2 linked regions of the Astyanax mexicanus genome follow. The protein of the gene in region 2 binds, or shares a complex with, the protein of the main gene of each other region. Links are inferred from orthologs where the notes say so. Each region holds a gene or a part of one and is shown on either strand. Other genes may lie near its edges.

What was found.
Region 1: the proteins of tgfb3 (region 2) and lrrc32 are in contact, whole or in part, in a cryo-EM structure (PDB 8VSB), measured with the Homo sapiens proteins. The link is inferred for Astyanax mexicanus from reciprocal best matches to the Homo sapiens genes TGFB3 and LRRC32. Residues at the interface, in NP_001316868.1 of Homo sapiens: Leu24, Ser25, Thr26, Cys27, Thr28, Leu30, Pro347, Pro349, Tyr350, Leu351, Arg352, Thr357, His358, Val361, Leu364, Leu368, Ser375; in NP_001122394.1 of Homo sapiens: Ala110, Ser135, Tyr137, Ser160, Val184, Met186, Asp187, Ile188, Asp190, Phe193, Leu202, Leu204, Arg206, Asn207, Ser208, Thr210, Cys211, Ile212, Ser213, Asp214, Phe215, Ser216, Leu217, Cys227, Asn228, Ser229, Lys254.

Annotation. Positions count from the first base shown.
Region 1 is NC_064427.1:35,631,286-35,639,553, forward strand, and holds the start of lrrc32 (transforming growth factor beta activator LRRC32), read left to right. Parts: upstream 1-4,889; 5' UTR 4,890-4,912; coding exon 4,913-4,965; intron 4,966-5,648; exon of another isoform or gene 5,649-5,759; intron 5,760-8,268.
Region 2 is NC_064421.1:14,049,600-14,057,887, forward strand, and holds the start of tgfb3 (transforming growth factor beta-3 proprotein), read left to right. Parts: upstream 1-4,981; 5' UTR 4,982-5,488; coding exon 5,489-5,837; intron 5,838-8,288. Other genes in the region: intraflagellar transport protein 43 homolog, read right to left, coding at 902-946. UniProt on the Homo sapiens protein: Transforming growth factor beta-3 proprotein: Precursor of the Latency-associated peptide (LAP) and Transforming growth factor beta-3 (TGF-beta-3) chains, which constitute the regulatory and active subunit of TGF-beta-3, respectively.

The DNA.
Region 1 (8,268 bases), on a different chromosome or scaffold from region 2:
GTTTTTAGGCCTTTACGTTTATTTTATTATGAATGCAGAACATATTGAACTGTACAATTCTATGTATATTTAGTCAAGTCAAGTCAAGTCAAGAGGCTTTTATTGTCATTACATCTGAGTACAGGTACACAGTGTGATGAAATTACGTTCCTCCGGAACCATGGTGCAACATAGAACAACAAGCAATAGACAACATAAAGTGCAGGAGTGACGACAGTGCAACATAAAATTATAAAATTATAACACTAAATAACAATAAATACAAAGGACGAGACAATGCATAAAGACAGGACAGTGCAGTACCGATACGGTATAATAAAGAGTATAGTGGGGATAAGGTGCAGAGATGTGTGACATACTGTAACATATAGAACATATATAATCACAGCAGTTACTGAGGTAGAGAGTTTATAGTTTTTAAGAGTGCAGCAAATAAAGTCATGTCAGCCTCTGTGTGCTGACTGGGTGTGTGTGTGGGTGAAGTTCAGTTCTTGTGAGTGTAAAGGGGGGAGGGGTGTACAGTTTAGTTTTGTGTGAGTGTGTTGGGTGAGTGGTGGGTGGGGTGGGGGTTCAGTTCTGTCTCTGTGCGTTGAGAAGTCTGACTGCCTGGTGGATGAAGCTGTTGCAGAGTCTAGTAGTGGAGGCTCGGATGCTCCTGTATCTTCTGCCGGACGGCATCAGACCGAAGAGTCCGTGTGAGGGATGGGTGGGGTCGTCCACAATGCTGGTGGCTTTGCGGATGCAGCGTGTGGTGTAGATCTCAGTGATGGAGGGAAGAGAGACTCCGATGATTTTCTCAGCTGTCCGCACTATCCGCTGTAGGGTCTTGCGGTCTGAGGTGTTGCAATTCCCAAACCAGACGGTAATGCAGGTGCTCAGGATGCTTTCTACAGTCCCTCTGTAGAACATGGTGAGGATGGGGGGTGGGAGATGTGCTTTCCTCAGTCTCCGCAGGAAGTAGAGGCGCTGCTGGGCTTTCTTGGTTATGGAGCTGGTGTTGAGGGACCAGGTGAGGTTCTCTGCAATGTGAACACCGAGGAACTTGGTGTTATCCACAATTTCCACAGCAGAGCCGTTGATGTTCAGCGGGTGGTGGACACCTGGAGCTCTCCTGAAGTCAACAACCATCTCCTTGGTTTTATCCACGTTAAGAGATAGGTTGTTGGTTCTGTTATCTGTTATTCTAGTTATCTGCTTATTAAACACTTACTTATAAAACACACACCACAGGACAACCACTTCACCCAGACTCTCACTAATAACATAATGATTGCTAATCTACTGGCTCTCTTGCTCTTCTTGTGACTGTATTATGCTAAACCAACCAATGATAATGTATCTAAATGTCGGTCACATTCAAAGTTACATTTGTTTAACTATCTATTCTATAGAAGATTCTTACTTTGCAAAATAGAAAAGTAAATAATCTTGCAGTACCTCTGCAGCCCACTGGGGAGCCCCATCTTCAAAAGGTTAAAAAACATTGTTCTTATCTATAGATCAATGAGTTTTTCTTTCTTTCTGACTATTGAATTCTGGATGGATTTTAAATATATTAATATTATTTTTTTGCAGTACACTTTCTTAAATGCCTATGAATTCTCTGCCGCTTCTTATGTTCTTTTGTTTTCCAACATTAAAAAATATAAGGGTTGTAACTATTCCAAATTAAACTTTCAAATGTTTTATCTTTTTTCAACTCTACTTACACATGTATTTAACTATTCAAAACATACACTGGTCAAACACAGGCAGCTTTACTTAATTTTTTACAAGGGTTCTAAATCGAAGATGGTAATTTTTTTCTTAGTCCTGTTACCAAAACTCGTGTGACAAAGCTTTTTTCTCAGGAAAGTCTTTATTATAAAGAAATGTTTAATGAATGGTTGTATTTTTCTAAAAGATGCAGGCCGACATTTTTAAGAAGAAAAAAACTAAAATTGTTAAAATTTATTATCATGCAATTGAATTAAACAAATGGATACGTAATGAACCAAACAGAATTGGAAAAAAGTGCTTTACACTAACTAATATTCACATTCAATTAATAAACCAGGGGACAATTCTCATTCCTGTTACTGGAACTCACATTACTGGCACTCTCTCCTGTTACTGTAACTCACTCCTGTTACTGACACTCATTTCTGTAACTGGCACTCAGTCCTGTTATTGGAACCCACTCCTTTTACTCTTTATGATATAAATAACAGGACTGAATGTAACAGGACTGTGTTTTTAGCATAGAATTAGTAAAAACATGAAAAATAGCTAAATGGTGGCTATACTAAAAAGATGAGGAAACTGGACACATTCTAATGATTTTCCCAAAATGTGTATTTTAAAAATAAACAAATAAGATCTGAGAATTAATTTAGGTAACAGGAATGAGTGCTGAGATTGACCTCATCAGTACTATAAGATCAAATATACAGAAAAACAAATGAGGGAACTTAATTTTAGTCTTCCTGGGATCTTCAGAAGAACCAGCTGATGTCACTTCCTGTTTTAGATGTGCCAAATTTTTAGATGGGGTAATGTGTTATGGTAAAATGACTGAGTGATAGGGACACAACTAAAATGTTACATTACAATTACAGTTTAAAATTTTAATTTAATGTTAATTTAAAATTTAATGATAAAGTTTATAGTTGGAGAGTGGGGACTGGTAACAAATGCTATTTTTTCAGTGTTCTAAGAAGTTTTTATTACGATATGTTTTAATAACATTATACTTTTGCAATTAGGTCAATGTACAAGACACTATGCTTAATAATAAAATGTCTTTTATAGTTATTTTGTTTGCATATTTATACGTGTAATTTCCTGGGGACAGAAATGGCACTGATTTAGTGGAATATGCCATAAATAACCTGACTAAGCCTTTATTAAAACTCAGTAAATAAATGCTGCAATATGTTGCATGCTGTCATTATTTTAAAATAATATAATAAAGTTATTAATGTGGTTTCAGATAGGAAACGATGGGCATAATCACTGATTGCAAAAAGAAATACACATAAACAAAACAGTGGATAATAAATGTGAAAAGTTATTACAGTGATAGAGACTTTGTGTCTTTGGAGAACCTTAATTTTTCTTTAAATTAGTGTTTCTAAAACCTGGTCCAGGTAATAATAGGCTGTTATACAGCTGATTGGTTGGAACAGTTCAGTTGGGAGCAGAAAAGCTTTAAAAAGGCAAAGTTGGGAAACACAGGTCCACAGCACCACTAGAGGGAGCTGCTCACTCTTCTGTGTGTGTCACATGTGCCTTCAAGTACAACAACAACAACAACAACAACAACAACAACAACAATAATAATAATAATAATAATAATAATAATAATAATAATAATAATATATTTTATTTAAATGCTTTTTTAATACTGCTTTAAATTACAAAATAGCTACTAGCAGTACATCTTCACTATTTACATTTTCACATCTTCTGTTGCAAAAATAAGACAAACCTTGTTTTGGCACAAAAAACACTATAGTGCTATTCTATTCTATTGTATTCTATTCTATTCTATTCTATTCTAATAACAGTATTTGCAATAATAATGATAACAGTTTTGGCGTAACAAACAAAGCTCTATTCTATTATATTTTATTCTAATAACAATAGTTGTAATTAGAATAACTTTGTTTGGGCATAGCAACAAATTAAGCTATATTCTATTCTATTCTGATAACAATAAATGTAATTGTAATAAAATAATAAAAACCTTGTTTTGGCATAACAATCAATAACGGAATATTCTTTTCTGTTCTATTCTATTCTGTTCTATTCTATTCTATTCACAGTAATAGTAATAATGATAACCTTGTTTTTCAAACAATAAATCTCTATTCTATTCACAATAATAGTGATAATAATATTTTGTTGAATTTATTTTTAACTGAACAATCGTACAATATAACAGTACTAAATTCTTGTTATTGTTTTTTATTTAGTTAGTTAGTTTCTTATTTAATATTATTATTTAATATAATAATAATAATAATAATAATAATAATTATTATTATTATTATTATTATTATTATTATTATTGTTATTATATAAACACACACACATATACAAGTGCATTTAAAAAAAATAGAATATCACTGAAAAGTTACTTTATTTCAGTAATTCAGTTTAAAATGTGAAACTCATATATTATATAGATGTATTACACACAGAGTGATCTATTATGAGTGATTGATTATGGCTTACAGCTATTGAAAATCCAAAAATCAGTGTCTCAGAAAATCTGAATATTATACAAGACCAACTAGTACTTTTGGCAGAGTGGGCAGTGTGCCAAATCCTGCTGGAAAATGAAATCTTCACAAAAGTTGACAGCAGAGGGAAGCATGAAGTGCTGTAAGATTTTCCGGGAAAACACTGCACTGACTGTGGAATTGATATAACACTAATTCTTGGGTTTTCATTGGCTGAAAACCATAATCATCAACAATAAATTAAATAGACGCTTAAAATATACCACTCTGTGTGTAATACATCTATATGATATGAGTTTCACATTTTGAACTGAATTCAAGTTTAAGTTTAGGATTATGATATTGGTTTTCATCACTGTTTTTTTGTTGTTGTTGATAGCAGTGTGTAAATCGAGTAGCCACTCCCATTGAACTCAATCATTTGTGCTGGGATTTCTTATCTGGTGCAAATCAGTCAAAATTGTTCCTGATGTTCCTGTAGTGAGATTACATCACTCCACCTCTCCAGGTAAAGCTAATCCTGTCTGAATAGGGCTATGTGGAGAAAATAAAAGCAAAAGGAAGGGAGTGAGTGAATGGAGGTGGAGGAGGGGAATCCCTACTAGGAGACTGATATATACCTGACCATCACTCAGCTTGCTCCAGTTCTTGACTGCACTGATACTTAACAGTCTGCTGACCATTTTATGTATGCAATGAAGGGCCATCTGTGGAGGAAGAGCCAATCAGCACACAGTAAGTATGTTTGATTTGTTTTATATATATAGATTTTCTGGTACCACTTAAATGAGACTACCTTTGTAAAGGATTAATAAATGGTTTACAATTAGTTTATTAATGGTTACTAATTAGGTTGTAAATGCCTTAAAATCATTAATAATTAGTTATGTGGCTGTGGGTTCACTATTTGGCAAACAACAAGTCTATGTACATTTCTACGTATGTGTTATAACTGATTATTAATGATTTTTAAGGCTTTTACAACCTAATTAGTAACCATTAATAAACTAAACCATTTATAAACCCTTTATAAAGGTAGTCTTATTTTAAAGTGGTACCGATTTTCTACCTATATGTTCTGTATGTTTTAAGGGATGTGGCATGGAATGCAGTGTTGGGAAACACCCTGGATACCAGTGTTTAAACTGAGGCCACTGAGGCCAGCTGCACTTTCTCATGAGAGAGAGAGAGAGAGAGAGAGAGAGAGGAGGCAGAGCAAGACAGTTAGAGGGAAAGAAGGAGAGAGAAGAGAAGAGAGAGTGCTCCCCATTTCCATATAAGGTACGAGCAAAAGTAGGAAAGTGGGGAGAACAACAATAATGCCGGCAGGATATTCTCACAGGATATGTATCAGGCTGGGAGTGAAAGAGAGAGAGAGGGAGGGAGGGACAGAGGGAGATGGAGAAGAGAGAGAGAGAGGGGAGGAGGAGAAGAGGGTAGGCTGTATTGTATCAGTAGAGCTGGACGGGGCTGCTGGCAGCATGACTGACTCTCTGTGCAGGAGATAGCAGGACTGGCACTTTCACTAGTACGGTAAGACTCACTCCTCTCTCACTGCTGTATCAGGATATGACTCTCTCTCTCTCTCTCTCTCTCTCTTTGAGAGACAGCCTATGAATTCTTACTCCTTTTCAAGAGAAGCGCTACAGACAGTGGTGGACTGACACAGGGGCAAAAAACAAAAAAGGGCACCTACTGCATGACATGGGACCCTGTCAACAAGAAGGGTGTTTCTTTTTTGCCACTTTAGAGAGCACTATAGTGATGTTTTTTTAACAATGTATATTTTTTTTTTACAATGGGCGCACTGGGAGGCAGTTGGGGTGGCTTAAGGGGGTTCTTTAGTAAAGCGATATGCCAGAGTTGCTTTGACAGTTCATTATGATTTAGGAAACCCTTTTTTATACAGAGTATGGCATTAATTAGCTCTTGGAACAGCCTTAAAATGCTTGTTGATGTTGGAAAAATTATTTTAAGATTCTGGTCCATGCTGACATAATTGCATCACAAAATTCTCTAGATTTTTCAAAGTTTACTTTCATGCTGTAAATCTTCCATTCTGACAAATCCCAACGCTTCTCTATTGGATTCAGTTCTGGCACTGGGAAGGCCACTGAAATAACTTTGGCTTGGCTTTGACATGGTGCATTATTATGTTGAAATGTTGAAAGTAAAATGAAAGTAGATTAGAAGGGTAAATTGCAATCATAAAGGGATGGATGCACTCCTCAAGGCAGGTTGGATCCATTGATTCAAGCAGTTGCCACCAAACTTCAACCGGCCATTTGTTTGCATCAAGATTCATCAAGATTCATCAAATCAGACGAAGTTTCTCCAGTATTCACCTGTTCAGTTCTGGTAATCTTGTGCCCACTGCAACCTCAGCTTTCTGTTCTTGAGTGAAAGAAGTGGAAGTTGACATGGTTTTGTGCACATGTAGCTTAACAGCCCTAAGGTTCAACATGTAATGAGAGACTTTTCTGGTCCCCTCAATTGTAAAGAGTGGTTAAATAAGTTACTGTACCCTTTCTATAAACCCAAACCTTTAAAATTAAGAGACCACTTAAGTTTCTGAATCAGTTTCTCTGATTTTGCTATTTATAGGTTTATGTTTGAGTAAAATAAACATTTCTGTTTTATTCTATAAACTACAGACAACATTTCTCCCAAACTCCAAATAAAAATATTGTCATTTAGAGCATTTATTTGCAGAAAATTAGAAATGGCTGAAACAACAAAAAAGATGCAGAGCTTTCAGACCTCAAATGTAAAAAAAACAAGTTCATATTCAATATTTGGTGGAATAACCCTGATTTTTAATTACAGTTTTCATGCATCTTGGCATGTTCTCCTCCACCAGTCTTACACACTGCTTTTGGATAACTTTATGCCACTCCTAGTCTAAACATTCAAGCAGTTCAGTTTGGTTTGATGGCTTGTGATCATCCATCTTCCTCTTGATTATATTCCAGAGGTTTTCATTTTGGTAAAATCAAGTGGTCTATTTTCCTTTTTTTTCAGAGCTGTAGATCCAAAATGATGACTTTTTAACTTTGAATAAAAGTGTTTGAATGGATGTAAAATAAGCTTTTTTCTAATTTTAGAGCATTTCTATTGGTCAATTCTTTCACAATTATTTACAGAATGTACAGAGCATCTACGATGTTAAAGCAATGGAGAAAACCAAAAACTGTCAAAGTGGAGATTTACTCAACAGTTATGCAGCAGCAGTTTAATGCATGCTGATACTGTAGTATTTAGTAACTACTATGCAGTATCTGCTATGAAACTAATATTGAATTTGTTGAACTGACTCTATTTAAGGAGGAAGACATACAAACCTGTGTTTATATTACAGTTTAAAAATGATACTATATAGCGCTCAAAATGGCTTTTAACAAATCATTTTCTGCAAAGTGTGCAAAATGAGTAATGGGACACCGGCTGAGTGACGCAGTTTTGTCTGAGGATGTGAAGAAACAGTTCAGAGAAATGAAATCAAAGAGTCACATAAGCCTCTCCTTCTGGGGTCACTTTGTGGCCACTTGCCTTTTATTATCCTCTTTATTATCCTACCTTCACCCTGTTCTTCAATGGTCAGGATCACCCAGAGGACCTCCAAAAAGGTAGAGCAGGTATTATTTGGGTGGTGGGTCATTCTCAGCACTGCAGTGACACTGACACGGTGGTGGTGGTGTGTTAGTATTGTGTGTTGTGATGGTAAGAGTAGGTCAGACGCAGTCACGCAGCAGTGCTGCTTGAGTTTTTGAACTCTATAAGACATTCTTACTAGTTGGACCACCTTGTAGATTCAAAGCCAAAAGTTGGCGTTGATCATTCTTTAGTCCTTTATCAGTGGTCACTAGATGCTACCCACAGAAGAGTTCTTCTCACTGTTGGCTGGAAATTCCTGGTTGGGGGTCTGGTCTGGTTGGTGGACTATTTTAAGCCCATCAGAGAAACTGACGTGTTTAAAAACTCCAGCAGCACTGCACAATACACACTACTAACACAACACCACCATCACCATGTGAGTGCTATA
Region 2 (8,288 bases):
CCATACCTGGGGTTCATGTTTTATTTGTTTTACTGTTTTAGTGTTTTTAAGACCAAATGTTTAATCAGATTGGTATGGTGGATAACATTCTTTATACTTAGCTTTACTACAGTGATGTAAGTTTATTGTTGACACTCTGTTGCCATAGGATTTTCTAGTTTTAGCTACTTGTAGTACAGTTCATACTTCTCAGAGATGTATATTCAGAGAGAGAGAGAATAAAAATAAAACTGTCAATTTTTTATCATGGCATACAATTGCTTATTTTTACCCTCTTCCATACAATTTTGAGCATCTTGAATGTGAGCTATGGTTTATTAAAGGTTAAACGTACAACGTTGATATATCCACGTCAAAATAGGTTATCTAGTTGAGCTAACTAGACAACAAGTTATACCACCCTTAACGTGAACCAGCAAATTCCACTAAGTTAGCCAGCGGAAAAAAAAATCCTTAAACTAACTAGCTAGGTTAACTAACCAAGCTAACGATATCAAGCTATCTAGCTAGCATTAGCTAGGTAAATCCATATACACGATTAGTGTTTTATTATTAATGCTTTATTAATAATTAACTGTATTTATAATTAGCCAGTAAACCTAGGCGTTAGACACTTAACTAGTTATCTAGGTTAACTAACCTAGGTTAACATGATAATTAATGTTTATGATACAGACTATCCTATCGCTTTTAGCTCATTTGCGGTAGTGCTGAACGCTGTGTGTGTTTCTGTGGTGATTTTCAGTGTTAGTTAGGTGAAGCCGCTCCACTAGCTTTAGCCTCCTGCTAAACATCCAGACACTAGTAGCGCAGCTACTGCCTCTGCGATCAGAAAACAGACGAGTAAACGCAGGATAAGTGTTTACACGCAGACGCTCCTTTTCCCGGTATTATAACTCACAGTCTTGGGGACCCCGTTCTCCCCCAGCTGCAGCGTATCCTCCATTTCTCCGTGTTTACAGGCTTTCCTGTATCCCTGTATCTCACGAGCTTCCCGTTACTCCGTACTTTCCACTTCCTGGACGCTGGACGCGTCACACAGCAACTGTAACCAAGGCGATGGAAACGGCGCGCTGTTTTGGATGAGGTGCTTGAGTAACATTCAATGTTTTCCTTAATTTCTTTATTTAATGTATTTTATACATTGTAGATTATTATTTACACCATATAAACAATTAAGAGACAAATATAGAATGAATAGCCAAATACTAAAAACACTTTTTTGGTATTTTGGACAAAATCATTTTTATTTATCATATTCATCTTATTTTTTACAGATATATATTGTGGACACCCCATGACATTAATGTTTTTATTTTTTTAAGAGACACACATGGAATGAGTCAAATACTGAAAACACCTTTTTGCTTTTTTTCAATCAATTAATTTTGGTATGCATATTTATCATTTTTATATGCATCCCTATTTCTAAAAAGAAAAAAAAAACACATTGGATGAGAAGAGGCATGTCTAAATGTACTTGTATGACTGGTGTATACAGTGTGTGTAGAGGGTTTAGATTATTGAGTGTTTTTACTTTTATATGTAAAAACATCCAATAATAAGCAGGGTTTTTTTTATTATTTTTGCCACTTTTCACAGTTGTATACATTGAATAGCATCAATGTATTTTTCTCTGAAAAAATAACAATTTAAATATATTTGTTAAACACTGATTTTTTAACATGGATACATATCAACAACGCACATTATTTATAGTTTGATATAAAATATATATTTTTACCAAAAAAAACCCCAAACTTTTTTGCTATTTTCAACTAAATAATTTTAGTGTGCAAAATATTTATACGTATCATATTTATTTGCATCCCTAATTCTAATGCTAGAATATATATATATATATATATATATATATATATATATATATATATATATATATATATATATATATATATATATATATATATATAGTGGACACTATGAAATTAATGTTTTTTAAGCACTTTAGGCTGTATTCACTGAACACTCACACAGTGCTTTTGTCACCGAGCCATCACAAATCATGTCAGCAATGTGCCAAAGTCTATAAGAACTTTTCTTGCCAGTTATTCCAACAAAAACAGAATAAACTACATAGATTTCAGATGAAACATTGAATCAGCAGGTGTTTTAATATTTTTGTTCCTATAGTTTACAGTACATGGTATGTTAGTTATATACAGTAGTTAGTTATACAGACTATGATACACTTTGCATACATTAATAAATATCAATCAATGTTTTGTTACAAGACTAATTTACTAATTTCAAGATCTCTATCCAACATATTGTTAGATGTCCACCACACACGTAAAGGCATTTCATGCCATGCCCCTGGGCTCCATGTCCTCGTGGTACGAGTATTCAATGAGAACTAATTTAGGTTCATGGCATCCGATGGAAGTACAGTGTTTATTTTTGCTAGTCAATGGATAGTTGGTCGAGTTCCAGCAATCTGGGGTCTTTTATTGTTTACTAGAATATGGCCGGTGGATGTTGATTTAAGGAACTTGGACCTCACCATATAAAGAAATGTTGATTTGCAGCCTCCTACAGCACGTCAACACTAGTCAGGCCTACTTCATGCTAGCTGCAGCATGTAATGAGCTATGTCTATCAGTGCTGTTCATTGTTATTAGGAGAGAATAAAGTGAAAAAGATAGAAAAAAAGGTGTTCATAGTTCACACATTACAGCCAGAGCCCAAAATAGTCACATTGTCACTGCCACAGAAAGGTACGTTGGCAATGTATAAATTTGAAAAAATTAATGATACACTTAATGTGCTTAAAGTGATGCTGGTAGATAGACGTCTCATGTACAGTATTCTCACAAATATGGTAAATGGCACACCTAATCCAGGTACTCAATCAGGTAATTACCAAGCACTCCCTAAGTTGAAGATGGTGTATTACAAGAGGAAACTACTAAAATGTACAGGGCAGGGAGTGATACACAGGCTTCATGTGTAGGCCAAGATTCATGGTTTATACACTGATCAGCCATAACATTAGTACATCACTGACAGGTGGCAGCTGTAAGAGCACCAGGTCATTAATGAGAGATTTCAGCAAGCTGCCACTGTTGGACCCCACTGCTCCTCAGGCATGTGGCATGTGTGCTCTCACAATATCACAGTGTGTATTTGGTCACTATATGAGCATGTTCACTACATTAAAGGCAGAGGCTACATTCTGTCTGTGTCCAACACAAGTATGGTGAATATGGATAGCTTGTCTTATATTAGGGGATCTTCATATATTCTGTGATGTGATGTCTTAAACACAGGAAAATGGACAAGCATAAGAACCTGAGTTATTTTGACCAAGAAAATTGTGATGGCTAGATAAGTGACTGGGTCAGAACATTTCCAAAACATCAATAATGCTCCTGGTGATCAGTACTTTCCAAAAGGAAGGACAGTTGGTGAACTGGCTGACAGGGGTCATGGGCACCCAGAGGTGGCTCTAGGATCAGAGTTGTGAGGGTGCTTGGCCAGACTCCTCCCCCTTTATAAAAAACAAAACAACAACAAAAAAACTGTGTACTTTTAATGATATTCAAATATAGTCTTAGGATTGTTTTCACTGGAGGGACGGGTGTGTCATATCAGTCGAATTAAAAAAATGAAGATTCAAATCAGACACACAAAATGCTTTGCACATTTTAAACATCTTTTCAGCAGAAAGAGGATAATAAAGCATTTTTACATATTTGTAATAAAACAATCCACTCATTGCTGCTTTCTTCATTATGTGGTTTAACTAGCTAAAAGCAGGAAGCTAATCACCACCATTCTGGATTTTTAGTGCGTCAGTACCAACATAATTTGTCCTTACCCTATCACTCGAACCTGCTCTTTTCTCTAAAAAACAATCCAATATCCATTCCTGACTTGCTGGCCATGCACCCACATACAGTGCGAGTTAGGAGTGGGCATCATTTATCTGCTATTCTTCTAAAACAGACAGAAAGACAGATATACTCATTTTTTACTCACAGTGGAAAATGGCTGATGGACAGCCTGCATCATTAGCTGCATATCGTCAGGAGAGACTGCTGTGTTTTTATTCTTAAAATTCTGTTTAATTATATATTTTCTAAGCTTTTACATGTTTGCTCAGCTTACCAGAGTCAACCCTCCATACAAAAAACACCCCATTTTTTTGTGATTCACATGATCCATTAAGGCCCCACCTCACATCATATAGAACTCTTTCAAGGATTCAAGGAGACTTTTTTGTTTTGCATCACATGTGGTACATGAGGTGGAACGAAATTGTAATCTTACAATCCAGTTACACCCAAGAGCAACTGTTATGTAGATCAAATAAAATAAAATAATAATAATATAAAACATAATATGATTCAAATAGATAACAGGATAGAACACATGATATAAAAAGGAGAGTAGGGAAGTAGGGAAACAGCAGCAACATGTCAGTGTTGTTTTAAATATGTAATTAATAAATTCAAAGGCTCATGAGGATCTGTAGTTGTGACTTGAAATATACCCACTGAATATTACACAGGTGGTTCTAATAATGTTATGGCTGATCAGTGTATACTAAAATACATTATTATCAGATATGAAGAAAAGCTCTATGCTGCATGTTCTCTTAGATATTATCCACTAGGGGGAGCGCATGCATGCAAAAAAGGTGGTTGAGTGAGTATGCGTGCGTGCATGTGCGCTTATGTTTGTGTGCGTGCACGCGCACGAGACAGATAGAAAAAGAGGGAGAGAGAAAAAGAGAGAGAGAGAGAGAGAAAGAGACATAAAGTGGTAAATAATAAATATATAGGCTATTTCTTATCTATTTCTTCAGAATAACTCTGTTGGAAGCTGTTTTCTGACTGAACTCCTGCAGTAATAAACGTGCAGTTGCCTCTTCTCACTCAGGCAATGGGTGAGAAGCTGCACCCCTTTTGCCCCTCCTCCCGTCCCGGGACGTCACGGGCCCCGTCCCTATAAAGGTCCGCGAGAGCCCCAGAGCTCATCTGAAGCGAGGAGTCCAGCACAGCAGCTGCGTGAAGGGAATAATATGCTGGTGGGACAGCAAGGCTTTGAGAAACTGAGCTCTTTAGGCTAGCACTCTTCCATGCTTTAGCTATGTTATGGAATTCTATTGGGATGCATTTTTGGAGTGCAGTGCATGGCTGCTCTGCTTAAGTTTACAGGATGGGGCAAACTCCCTCACCACTTGAACTCCAAGCAACTGAGAGGATAATCTGGAATTTACTCTCATAGATTTTTTTTTGAGTCTGTATATTATTTTATTTTAGATTTTTTCCCCTAGTATTTAAGTTCTTTTTTTCTATTTAGTCTCAACTAGCTCCAGCTCACCTTACGTGAACTGGACCTCTTGGTAACTTTGGTACTTAGACTCACAGTGAGGACACTCATAGACATACACACACACACACACATATAAACACACTTACACACTCACTCATACACACACACACACACACACACACACATCACCATGCAGCTGGGCAGAGCACTTTTGTTTTTCCTCCTCCTCCTAAACAGCATGACCATGATTTTCTCGCTGTCTACTTGCACCACTGTGGACATTGACCACATCAAGAAGAAGCGGGTGGAGGCCATCCGGGGACAGATTTTGAGCAAATTGAGACTGACGAGTCCACCGCAAGCCCTGGGTCCCAATCAGGTCCCGTACCAGGTGTTGGCCCTCTATAACAGCACCAGAGAGCTGATAGAGGAGCTGGGCAGGGACCGGCAGCAAAGCTGTGGCCAGGATAACACTGAGACCGAGTACTATGCCAAAGAGATTCACAAGTTCAACATGATCCTAGGAACACCTGAAAACAGTAAGTAGGCCTGAATAGCACTGCATTCAACAGCTTCATTGTTCTCGCATTTTATAAAAAGAGATTGTATTACCCTGTTCAGTTTCTGTATAGGTCAGTAATGGTCTGTGATCTGATCTTGCTTAGCAATACCTAGAGGAATATTGTATTTTATGCCTAGAACACATAGGCCATAAATTGTGAGCTTAATGTTTGTCACTGGACGGATCATCGCAGCTGGAAACCCATCACCCCATCACCCCAGCTCACAGAGCAATACTGTAATATAGACTGTGGTATTTTGCCACAGAAACCAATATGCTCTAAGGAATGGTCTTCAAATAATGCTTCAGTCTGGTATGTCTGGAAAAATCATTTGTAGTCTGTTTCTACTTTAATAATAAAACCTTTAGGATGTTCCTCTGACTGTTAAGTGAAGACCTTTAAAGTTCAGGAGGCAGCCAATCATTTGCTGTAAAAACAGCAAACAGAGGTCATGTCTTGTTTAGATCAATTCAGTTAATTTCACATGATCACCTGAAACTCAATGGAAAATACCTCAGTGGATTTTTCCATGAATTACCATGAAAGTTCCCACAGGCCCTAGAATTCCGGGGTCATCTCTTGATCTAATTGACCGTGTGTCGCTAAATGGAGTAGAAATGTTTGAGATAAGTTGAGATAAAGTTAGAAAAGCCTGAAAGCTCAGGGCATTCTGATGTCTGATGACTCTCTCCACTGGTTCACTCCATCTTTAGAAGAGCATTAAGGCGCTGAGCTCTGTACTGTCCTCAGCTGCGAGTACTGGAGCAGTATGGGAGCTCGCCAGTGCTTTCCCACTGAGCTAACGACCAGACTGTCTCAGGCAGCCTCACAGCCTTTCCAATGGAACCATTTTAACGAGGCTTGCTTATACTGTCCACGGAACAAGTCGTCAGTGATATTTTCCCCCCACTGTCAGACGCCATAACTGCGGTTTATGTACATAATTGTCCGTTTACTCTTTGTCTGGATCTGTGTGTGTGTGTTAATATCGCTAATGATTTATAGCAGCCTTTTTTTCAACGTGCTTCACAGGGTTGTAGTTTAAAGTGATGATTCTGAGTGGAGCCCATGTATTCTCTTGTCATCTTGTCATCTACATCCTGTCTTGATTGATAATAGACCTTTAACGACGGCCAGCTAGCCCATCTATGGTTGCGTCCTCCATCGCAGTGAAGTCTCAGGAGAAAGTGAGAAAATTTTGGAAAGTGAGAAGAATTGGACTTGGGCCTGTTCAGTGATGGAAGCAGGTCATTGCATCATGCATCAAGTGTTTTTTCAAATCAACAGGTGTTTTATGCTACAGAGACACTGAACAGACCGTCCTCTGGCTCCCAAACAAGCTCCAGTGCCAAATGTGGATTTCGGGTCAACTAAAGTGCTTCTGACACTTAAAATATACACTCCCTCAGCTACTTTAGCTGCCATACTGAAAAATATAGCTTATGGCTGCCTGGCCATTTCAAGACCACTGGCCTGTTGGGGTGATCTTCAGGTTATCAAGCGACTACCCACTGACCCTTCCTTTTCCAACAGATGCACACACAAGTCACTGGAGGAAAGGAACAGAGTCAGGCCCTCATCAGTAATAGTTTCCAGAGTTGAATAATTATGTTTATTTCTAATTTCCATTGTGCAATTTGACCATTAAGCAGGCCTGTTTGGCTACACTGTGGTTGATGTCACTATGGAGAAACAGGAATGTACTGTACAGTATATTCCCAGTCCGCTCAGACCAATTGAACTATGAACTTAGGCTTGGATTGCGTTTAGGATATATATGGAATCACTGCCAAAACGTCATGGGAAAGGAACTAGTATAGTGTCCAATGACTTTTGCCAAGTCCCATTGGAAACTAAAGAATGTGCAACTGACCTATGAGATGGGTGTGTGGGGCATCCTGCATTGAATATGGATGGGATTTCCGATTTATCCGATTTATCTGATTGATCTGATTTATGACAGAGTCTCTTGCTTGTCTGTTTGCATGGACATTTCTAGGCAGATTCCACTGGACACCATTATTACCACCCACTGCTCTGCTCTAAAGCCTTCTTCAGTGACGCATTTTTGGTACACATGTATGTGCTACTGTGGATCAAGGAATGTTAAATGCTCACACAACTTCGGAAAACTTTGAAAAACTTTGGAAAACTCTGCAAAAGAAATGTCACATCCATCTGGTATCTACCATCAGGTCTTGCTCTAACTCTGATATGTGCCCACTCTGATATGAACACTGTGCTGTTGGTCTGTGTTCAAATCTCACTCACAAGATAACACCTCACATATAGCACGTATATCTATATAGTTGTGTCAGTTGTTCTCAAGCCATTCCCAGAGGTAACACTTTATGTTAGGGTTAGTTTTCCTTCTTATAACTTTTGATAAATCAGTGTATAAAAAGGAGTAGTGTATCTTAAAAAAAT